Linked DNA regions of Saccharomyces cerevisiae S288C. Changing the gene in region 1 together with any one later gene gives a genetic interaction. Each region holds a gene or a part of one and is shown in the gene's direction. Other genes may lie near its edges. The genes, in order: PYK2 and ATG2.

Region 1 (4,187 bases):
GATCTACCCGATCATGTGCGCGCTGGGCGAAATGGTGTGCTTTTTGCCCGGTGATGGTTCTGACAGTGCCGGGTCGACGGCCAATCTGGTCACTAGGTACGTTGACCCTTCGTTGGGCTTCGCCACTGGGTGGAATTACTTCTACTGCTACGTCATTTTAGTGGCCGCCGAGTGTACGGCGGCATCCGGTGTGGTCGAATACTGGACCACCGCGGTTCCCAAGGGCGTTTGGATCACGATCTTTCTATGCGTGGTTGTTATACTAAACTTTTCCGCGGTCAAAGTGTACGGCGAATCCGAGTTTTGGTTCGCGTCTATCAAGATATTATGCATTGTGGGACTGATCATTCTGTCCTTTATTTTGTTTTGGGGTGGTGGCCCCAACCATGACCGTCTTGGCTTCAGATACTGGCAACATCCGGGCGCTTTTGCGCATCACCTCACGGGCGGATCGCTGGGTAACTTCACAGATATCTACACTGGGATTATCAAGGGCGCCTTCGCCTTCATTCTTGGTCCGGAACTGGTGTGCATGACTTCCGCGGAATGCGCGGACCAGCGTAGAAATATCGCTAAGGCTTCGCGCCGCTTTGTATGGAGACTGATCTTCTTCTACGTTCTGGGGACGCTGGCCATCTCCGTTATTGTTCCATACAATGACCCAACATTGGTAAATGCGCTGGCGCAGGGCAAACCGGGAGCCGGCTCGTCACCCTTTGTGATCGGAATTCAAAACGCCGGGATTAAGGTTCTTCCCCACATTATCAATGGGTGTATCTTGACCAGCGCGTGGTCTGCCGCCAATGCGTTTATGTTTGCGAGCACGAGATCACTGTTGACCATGGCGCAAACGGGACAGGCACCCAAATGTTTGGGCAGAATCAACAAATGGGGTGTTCCATACGTGGCTGTGGGTGTTTCCTTCTTGTGTTCTTGTTTGGCATATCTGAACGTGTCTTCATCCACGGCAGACGTGTTTAATTGGTTTTCCAATATCAGCACCATTTCCGGGTTTCTGGGCTGGATGTGCGGCTGCATCGCGTACCTGAGATTCCGCAAGGCTATTTTCTACAATGGCCTCTACGACAGATTGCCTTTCAAGACGTGGGGACAGCCTTACACCGTGTGGTTCTCTCTCATTGTTATAGGCATCATCACCATTACCAACGGGTATGCCATTTTCATCCCTAAGTACTGGAGAGTAGCAGATTTCATTGCTGCCTACATCACCCTACCCATCTTCCTGGTTTTGTGGTTCGGCCATAAGCTGTATACTCGGACGTGGAGACAATGGTGGCTCCCTGTGTCCGAGATCGATGTTACTACAGGGTTAGTCGAGATCGAGGAGAAATCAAGAGAAATTGAGGAGATGAGATTACCCCCCACCGGTTTCAAAGACAAGTTCTTGGACGCCTTGTTGTAACGCTTTTATGAACATATTCCGATATCTCTCACGATACTAATATTCGAAAAATCTTTCTCCTTCGCCGCGATGGATGGAAGTAAAAACACATATATAAAAGTATAAAATGAATGCTGGCGTATTCTTACATACAAGAGATTTGTAAAAAGTCAATGAAAAGTTCTCCACACGTGTTTTTCTCTTTTACTTTTTTTTTCTTCCTTTTGGTTTCCTTTTTTCTTTCTCGTCGCTTTTATTTAGCGACGCAGCATAGGAAACAGGGGTAAAGTGTCATAACTTTTTAGAGAAAATGATATATCATTAATATGCACACGTTTATATAAATGGAGAAAGAAAACAAAGAACATAAAACATTTTGAAGCAGAGCGGTGAAACGCAACTATATTTTACTTTCATCCTCTACGTCCATTGTAAGATTACAACAAAAGCACTATCGATGCCAGAGTCCAGATTGCAGAGACTAGCTAATTTGAAAATAGGAACTCCGCAGCAGCTCAGACGCACCTCCATAATAGGTACCATTGGGCCCAAGACAAATAGCTGCGAGGCCATTACTGCTCTGAGAAAAGCTGGTTTGAACATCATTCGATTGAACTTTTCCCATGGCTCCTACGAATTCCATCAATCAGTAATCGAAAATGCTGTGAAATCGGAACAGCAATTCCCTGGCAGGCCGCTCGCCATTGCCCTGGATACCAAGGGTCCCGAGATCAGAACAGGTCGCACGTTAAATGACCAAGATCTTTATATCCCCGTAGACCACCAAATGATCTTTACCACTGACGCAAGTTTTGCAAACACCTCCAATGATAAAATCATGTATATAGACTATGCTAACCTGACAAAAGTTATCGTTCCGGGGAGATTTATATACGTGGACGACGGGATTCTCTCTTTTAAAGTGCTCCAAATCATTGACGAATCTAATTTAAGGGTGCAAGCGGTAAACTCGGGTTATATCGCATCTCATAAAGGTGTTAATCTGCCTAATACCGACGTTGATTTGCCCCCCTTGTCCGCCAAAGACATGAAGGACTTGCAATTCGGAGTCCGCAATGGCATTCACATCGTATTTGCCTCTTTCATAAGAACTTCAGAAGATGTGTTGTCTATCAGAAAAGCGTTGGGTTCTGAAGGGCAAGATATCAAGATTATATCCAAGATAGAAAACCAGCAAGGGTTGGATAATTTTGACGAAATCCTGGAAGTCACGGATGGTGTTATGATAGCGAGAGGCGATTTAGGAATTGAAATCCTGGCACCTGAAGTATTAGCCATTCAAAAAAAGCTGATTGCAAAATGTAATTTGGCGGGCAAACCTGTCATTTGCGCGACTCAGATGCTGGATTCAATGACACACAATCCGAGACCGACAAGGGCTGAAGTATCGGATGTGGGTAACGCTGTGTTGGATGGTGCTGATTGTGTTATGCTTTCTGGAGAAACGGCGAAGGGTGATTATCCGGTGAATGCAGTTAATATTATGGCGGCGACCGCTCTGATTGCTGAAAGTACTATCGCTCATTTGGCTCTTTATGACGATCTCAGAGACGCCACTCCCAAACCTACTTCCACTACGGAAACTGTAGCAGCTGCAGCTACCGCAGCAATCTTGGAGCAAGATGGTAAGGCCATCGTTGTATTATCTACTACAGGGAACACGGCAAGGCTACTGTCGAAGTATAGACCAAGCTGCCCTATCATATTAGTAACAAGACACGCAAGAACGGCAAGAATTGCGCATTTGTATAGAGGTGTTTTCCCATTTCTGTATGAACCGAAACGCCTAGACGACTGGGGTGAGGATGTTCATAGGCGCCTAAAGTTTGGTGTTGAAATGGCGAGGTCTTTCGGAATGGTGGACAACGGTGATACTGTTGTTTCCATTCAAGGATTCAAAGGAGGAGTCGGCCATTCCAATACCTTACGCATTTCTACTGTTGGTCAAGAATTCTAGTAAAAATTAAAGTCCTTATTTTTTTTACTTAATTTTATTTAATTGTCCATTGTGTCAGTTATTTTTTTTTTCTTTGGTAATAATCATGCAGATATTACAGGTAATGTTCGCAAACTGCGTGTTTACTGTATGCTGAAATGTTTTTTTTTTTTTAATTCAAACTTCAAAGTCCATGTCAAGTTTACGCACAGTCTGGTAAGTATGTTTATTTCTGTTTAAAAGTGGAATTATATCATTGAGTAAAATTCTTTCCCACGTTTGGAAGCCTGAATGATCCTGATTTAAAAAGGCGCAGAGATTTAATTCCCTTGATATTAGGTTTGATAAATGAAGAACTAAATGGACTCTATTAGAATCGCAAAGTTTAATCAAATATTTCACGAATAATTTAACATCTTTTTCATGCGGCCCTCCATCACCTAAAGTTTCGGCAACCCATTGTTTCACTAATTGACAAATTTTTTTGAACCGTGTCAGATTTTGGAATTTGATCGGCTGGAATATACTATTTTGGCCCATGAAATGATTTTTCTCGTTCTGTAGGCTCTCTTCTCTCCTTTTTATCTTTTCTTGTAGGTTTCCTAACTTTGTCTGTTGGATTTTTTTCTGAATTCTCAAGTCGTGCCTTACTTCTGCTCGAATTTGGGTTGGTAGTTCATTCATAAACTGTTCTTCCATAGTACTGGGCAAATCATTTACTTCTAATCTGGAAATGGCAAATCCTTTTTTTTTAGAGCTCAATGAGTTTGAAGTCAACCCGGATTCTTTTCTCTTATAATTTCTTTTCTCGAACTCGTTGTTAATGTC
Region 2 (7,211 bases), on another chromosome or scaffold:
TAGAAAGATCCATTAATAATGCAGAGGCGGACAGTGCAGCGGCGACAGCAGCAGCAGAAACAATGACTCAGGATAAAATGAACCCTATTCTGGATGCCATATTGGAAAGCGGTATCAACACCATCCAGGAATCGGTCTATAATCTCGATTCTCCTTTGAGTTGGTCGGGTCCGCTGACTCCACCCACTTTCCTTTTGTCCTTATTGGAAAGTACTTCTGAAAACGCCACTGAGTTTGCCACCAGTTTCAATAATTTGATAGTAGACGGCCTTGCACACGGCGACCAAACAGAGGTCATACACTGCGTTAGTGATTTCAGTACTTCGATGGCTACACTGGTGACCAATTCAAAGGCGTACGCCGTTACTACATTACCTCAAGAACAGTCTGATCAAATTTTGACCCTGGTGAAGAGATGTGCCAGAGAGGCCCAATATTTCTTCGAGGATTTGATGTCTGAAAATCTTAACCAGGTCGGTGATGAGGAGAAAACTGATATCGTCATCAATGCCAACGTGGACATGCAAGAGAAGTTGCAAGAGCTATCTTTGGCTATCGAACCGTTATTGAACATACAATCTGTCAAATCAAATAAAGAAACGAACCCACATTCTGAATTGGTTGCCACTGCTGACAAAATTGTCAAATCCTCAGAACACTTACGTGTTGACGTTCCTAAACCATTGTTGTCATTGGCATTAATGATTATTGATGCTGTTGTGGCTTTGGTAAAGGCTGCTATTCAGTGCCAAAATGAAATTGCCACCACGACAAGTATTCCTCTGAACCAATTCTACTTGAAAAACAGCAGATGGACAGAAGGTTTGATCTCCGCGGCAAAGGCTGTGGCAGGTGCAACCAATGTTTTAATCACTACTGCTAGTAAGTTAATCACTTCTGAAGACAATGAAAACACATCACCTGAACAATTTATCGTCGCCTCCAAAGAAGTGGCCGCATCCACAATACAATTGGTAGCAGCATCGAGAGTGAAAACTTCCATCCACTCGAAGGCCCAAGATAAATTGGAACACTGTTCCAAAGATGTTACCGATGCATGCAGAAGTTTGGGTAACCACGTCATGGGTATGATTGAAGATGATCATTCGACTTCGCAACAGCAGCAACCATTGGACTTCACATCCGAACACACATTGAAGACTGCCGAAATGGAACAGCAAGTGGAAATTTTGAAGTTAGAACAATCCTTGAGCAATGCCAGGAAGAGATTGGGCGAGATAAGAAGGCATGCCTACTATAACCAGGATGATGATTGATCATGAATTGTACTTTTTATATATAAAGATAAACGTTAATATAAATATATTTATTTGAAGACGTCTTTTACGTTTTTCTGTATCTGATTGGTATATGCGTTCTCGTCCGGGGACATTTTTTCTTTTTTTGGTGCGGCGAATGGAAATAATCGCGATAATGAATATGCAAGGAACAAAGAACAGACACCCCACCCTTATTATCATATCACATCTCTGTAGGAGTCTACCATTTTGCTTCTATTGTAATCTTTGCGACTTTATTTCAACTCACCATTCATACAAAATTTCTACTGCCGTTTAAAATAAGGAAAGCATAAAGATTAAAGCAAATTAAGAGGAACCCTTTTTTTTTTTGATTTCGATACAATGGCATTTTGGTTACCTCAAAATATACAAAAGCGGCTGCTTCTTTACGTCCTTCAGCAAATTTCGCTGTTCTCCAATATAGATTTATCTAACTTGGACGTTTCTATAGGGTCTAAGTCACATTTCTCGTTCCATGATGTGAATCTGTCACTTGATGATCTCAACATTCCAAACGTGCAAATAAACGAAGGCATAGTTGACGAGCTTGTGTTAAAATTAACAGTTTCTGGCGGTGTGGAAATCGATGGGTCTGGTTTAAGATTTATCATGACACCTTTATATTCCAGTGGCTCACAGGAACTTCACTCAGATTTTTTGGTTAAAAGCATCCAAGATCTTACGAATTCGATGTTACAATTTAGTGATCCATTGACCACATATAATAGGTACAAAGAAGATGACATTAGCTCTTCAGACAGTAGTAGTGATCTCAACTCTAATATAGAAGCTTCAAAACCAGCCGCAAATGGTTCTTATACTCTTCAAAATATGCGGAACAAGGCCCTTAATGTAGCCTTAGCGAAATTGAAAATAGCATTAAAGGACGTTACCATACGTTTCATAGTGAATGATAGAGATCCTTCCGATAACATTGTGGAGGTTCATCTAGAAAGCATACAACTTATTACTACAGACGCAAATTTACGACATATAAACATTGAAAATATCACCATTTCCTCAATACAAAAACAAGCTGTACCCGACTCTCCTGTGCATCCTTTCAATAATGACGATCTGTCACAAAGCGTTTATTTATCAAAAATGGAGGCTACTTCACTTTATATGAGCGCCATGGAAGAGCAATCAAATGAAGACCCCAGTGAACCCCAAGTTACACAAGAAGAACAAGAGAATGATAAGTGCAAGGAATCTTTAATGGAAATAAATAATTTGAACATAGCTTTTAAGGGTTTATCATCGGTCAATGATCTCAGAATGTCTAATATTGTTATTGATATTCAGGATGTTCATTTAGCGATACACAAAATTGTCGAAATCAAAAACTCCACTTTGAAGAATATTATAGATATCATTGTTACACATTTGGATGCCAATGAAAGCTTTTCTTGCCAGGATTCCCAAAGTCCTTCACCTGACAAGCAGGAACCATCAGCTCTTTCTTCTGTTGATATCAAATGTATATACTTAAACTTAGGCCAAGATATCACAGTAATTTTGAAGAGCTTTAAATTAGAGCAAAAGGAAAATAATTCATTGGCATTTTCTTTAGGCTCATTTTATTCTAATTCGAGTCCATTGACAATTAGCCATAAAACTAAGCCATTGCTCACTGGAGAACAAACCCCTCAAAGCATCGCATTAAATATGGGCGACGAACTAGATATTATTATCAGTCATGATGGCATTGCGCATTTCTTTAAAATCTTTCAGTTTGTTTCAAAATGTATGTCCTTTTATCAGAATAAGTCAAAAGGGATGATGCCTCAAATAGCATCGGATACTAAAAGGACCGTACAACTTACCTCAAAAGCAGTGAAGTTGTCGCTTAAGTTTCCATATTTTTTATTATGTTTCCAGGTTTCACCCTTCATTTACGACTCTAACCGTGAGTTGTACATTGAGCTTGTAGACGTATTTAAAAAACTACCTTCTCGGTGCACGAAAATATTGACAATGTCGAGCATTACGATCTCGAACTTGCAATCCCCTCTACAACTGGGTTCATATGACGATACTTTGAAAGAAGCGCTAATTTATAGTTCTGTCCATGCAATCATCAAAGAAGTGATATTTAACGAAGAATATTCTGGAATAGTACAATTAGTCGAAGATATTTCTGCGTTTGGAAAACTTTTCACGGATTCAAAGAACAGTGAATGTACAGGAAAGTCTAAAAGCAAGAGAGGCTCCTTTTTGCAGAGAAGTGTCAGAGTACTTAATTCTTCCAGGTTCGTTTACAAGCAGAGTTTATCCGCTAATTTTTCTCTCAAGATAGATTCCATGAAGTTAAAAGTATCAGAAATTATAGGGCCGCAATTTGGTTCTGTGGAAGCATTACTATCAAATAATTTCTTTGCGATTACGGATGACTCTCAAATTGTATATTTTACAAAGAACTTAAAGGTAGAAAGAAAGACACCGTCATTATTAGAGCCACAAGAAATCATGTCAGTAGTTTTGAATAAAGCAGTTAACGAACCTGTACTATATGTTCATAGAAGGGCGAATGGAAAGTTAAAAGTCATTTTTAACAACATTCGCATACATTACTATGCAAGGTGGTTAGAAATACTAAAGAAAAACATCGGCCCGGATAATGCCAGTTCAAAAGATGAACCTGTTTCACAAAAGCTTAGTAAAAAACAACCGACTTCAGGATTTCCCTGGGAACTCAAATGTCTGGACTGCTCTCTAATTCTGCACCCTTTCAGATTAAAAAGTGTAATGGTCATTGTACTTGACAATCTAACAACTGGTGGAAGTTCATTTATTCCGCAGGCAAAGCTTCTTTCAAAGGCGAATACACTCTTCCTAATAGATGACTATCAGAATTTCAAAATTCAAAAAGATAAGAACTGGCCTAGTTTGATAAATTTTTATGCTGGTCAAGGTTTCTCTGCAATCGGTAAAATAGATACTTTGAATTTTTTAATAAACAAATCCGATGGTGCCCTTTTATTGGATTGTAAAATAGAACAAGTTGGTCTTTCATTATGCGCGGATTCTTTTCAAACTTTTTGTCAGCTTTGTATTGATTTAAAATATCCTCAGACGTTTCCTGATGAGGAAAAATTTAGAACGCAGTTGAAAAATCCTATCGATGTATTCAAAGACATCGATTGTGATCTTTTCAATTCTGCCTTCATCCGGGAGAACAATCATCAAAATGATTACGACTCAGTGCATTTGGTAGACAGTTTTCTCGACAAAACTCACGAGTTCAACAATGGTGCCAGAAGTAAACTATCCTCTCAAGGTTCATATGAAATGGACAGTTCCTCTGGAACTGCCACAGGTGGTATTTTACTTCCCCATGAGAGTTATCTAGACTCTGCTCAGCCAAAAGAAGAAGATACTCCACCAATCGCCTCAAAAGAGCAAGAAAGGGATGTGGATATAAGGGGTAGTATAGATGTCGAAAAAGTTGTTATAAAACTATTCGATGGGTATGATTGGAAATATACGCGGAAATTTATCGCTAATACTGTTGAAAAACTGGATAAAGAGCTCAGTAAAGCGGAAGCAAGCAGTTCGAAATCAAATGTACCCCAATCAGAGGCAAATATTTTTGACTCTATTTATATATCTGCTAACAAAAACAATGTCACAGATTTGAGAAGAAATCTTGATGGTGAGATCCAGGGGGTTCAGAATTCCTTCTCTGATGTCTCTAAAGTTAATTTGCGACCTTCTAAGCATTACAAAGCCCTGATTCAATTGAACAAAGTACATGTCAATTTGAAGAATTATCGAGTAGATGAACCCGATGAGTCTAACTCTGATAATTCCACAGATGTTTTGAACCGATGTGTAGTTTCCATTTACGAATTTGAAATTATCGATAATGTTCCCACGTCCACCTGGAATAAATTTGTAACTTTGCTAAAGCACGAACCGTGGCCACACAGTTCTCCGATGTTTCTTCTGGACCTGGAATTTATCCGGCCGATCGACTTTTTGCAAGCAGTGGAATTAGTCATGCAATTAAATGTTGCGCCTTTACGCCTTCACGTGGATCAAGACACTTTAGAGTTTCTAATAAGGTTCTTAGGGTTCAAAGATAAAAGATTTGAATTAATTGATGAGTATCCAGATATTGTATTTATTCAAAAATTTAGCACTAATTCAATTAAGTTAAGATTAGATTATAAGCCGAAAAAAGTTGATTATGCGGGTTTAAGATCGGGCCAAACTTCTGAATTGATGAATTTTTTTACCCTTGATGGATCCAAGATTATTTTGAAAAGCGTAGTCCTGTATGGATTAAATGGATTCGATGAATTAAATAATAAACTGAAAGCCATTTGGACGCCGGATATTACCAAAAAGCAGCTGCCTGGCGTTTTGGAAGGACTGGCTCCTGTCAGATCGTTTATGGCGATTGGGTCAGGGGTGAAGACCCTAGTCACAGTACTAATGTCAGAATACAGGCAAGAAGGGCATTTGGGAAGGAGTCTGAAAAAGGGTGGCAATGTCTTCTTGAAAACGACAACGGGAGATTTTGTGAAATTGGGAGTTAAATTAACTTCAGGGACACAGGCGATATTGGAGAACACCGAGGAACTATTCGGTGGTGTTGGTTCCAATGGCAGGGTGTACGATGCATCGAAATTTGGCTCCGCTGATGGTGCAGACAGTGATACTGCAGCTGTATTAGACTTGGATACTTTATTCGAGGAGGATCAGTTAGTTGGTAGTAAATATTCCAGGATAAGAGATCATGAGCCCACGGCAGTAGTCATCGATATGTCTTCACCGGGAGATCACAACGAACCCACAATAGTGAGTCTGTACGCAGATCAGCCCCTCGACCTGCCCACGGGTTTGAAGGAGGCGTATAGTTCATTAGAAAAGCATATGCATATTGCGTACGATGCGGTATGGAGGGCAAAGGGACAGATGAAGGATGATAAACGGGGAGGGCCGAGCGCCGCAGCAGTTTATGTTGCTAGAGCTGCACCTGTGGCAATTATTCGGCCGTTAATTGGGGCCACTGAGGCAGTGTCTAAGACTTTACAGGGAATAGCTAATCAAGTGGATAAGACGCATAACGAGCAAATCAATGATAAGTACAAGTCCAATCGGACTGATTCGTAAAAATTTTTGCAGACATTTTTGATATATATTCAATTCATATTTTATCTCTTTTTTTTTTTTTTTTTTCAGACGTGGAATGGTGGGAAAGCCAAAATGTCACTGACCGCGGCTAAAAGTTAAAAAATACATGAGACGACATTCTTTTATGTATATATATTTACACATGTATACAAACAAATACACACGCAAGTAGAGAGGAGTTGGTGGGGGGAAGATGCCATTATAGAGGAGAAAAGAACAAAGAGAGTGAGCTTGCAAGATAAAATCACTCGAAAAAAAAAATTTCAGTGACTTAGCCGATAAATGAATGTGCTTGCATTTTTCTAATTATCCTTCGTATCTTCTGGCTTAGTCACGGGCCAAGCGTAAGGGTGCTTTTCGGGCATAACATACTTGTGTTTTTGCATATATTCCTTCAATCCCTTTGGACCTCTTGATCCGTAGGGGTAAATTTCCGGTGTTGGACCGTCCGGACGCTCTATGTGCTTCAGTAATGGGGTGAATATGCCCCAACTGATATCCAATTCGTCATCTCTGACAAAGTTGGAATGGTCACCCAGTAGGGCGTCTCTTATCAACACCTCGTAAGCCTCTGGAATCCAAAAGTCTTGGTACCTGCTTGCGTAAGTTAGATTCAGATCTGTGACTTGGGTAGCATTTGACAGACCAGGGGTCTTAGCATTAAACTTTAGGTACACAGCGGCATCGGGCTGCACTCTGATGACCAGTTCGTTATTTGGAATGTCTTTGAAGACACCCGATGCGACCGCTTTGTACTGCAGTCTGATC

The links.
Region 2: of PYK2 (region 1) and ATG2, changing one suppresses a phenotype caused by changing the other (phenotypic suppression), as found in Saccharomyces cerevisiae (one study listed by BioGRID).

The regions. Positions count from the first base shown.
Region 1 is NC_001147.6:984,135-988,321, reverse strand, and holds PYK2 (pyruvate kinase PYK2), read left to right. Parts: upstream 1-1,859; coding exon 1,860-3,380; downstream 3,381-4,187. Other genes in the region: proline permease PUT4, read left to right, coding at 1-1,423; REV1 (deoxycytidyl transferase), read right to left, coding at 3,537-4,187. UniProt on the Saccharomyces cerevisiae protein: May be used by cells under conditions in which the level of glycolytic flux is very low.
Region 2 is NC_001146.8:189,681-196,891, forward strand, and holds ATG2 (Atg2p), read left to right. Parts: upstream 1-1,643; coding exon 1,644-6,422; downstream 6,423-7,211. Other genes in the region: SLA2 (Sla2p), read left to right, coding at 1-1,277; ZWF1 (glucose-6-phosphate dehydrogenase), read right to left, coding at 6,746-7,211. UniProt on the Saccharomyces cerevisiae protein: Lipid transfer protein required for autophagosome completion and peroxisome degradation. Tethers the edge of the isolation membrane (IM) to the endoplasmic reticulum (ER) and mediates direct lipid transfer from ER to IM for IM expansion.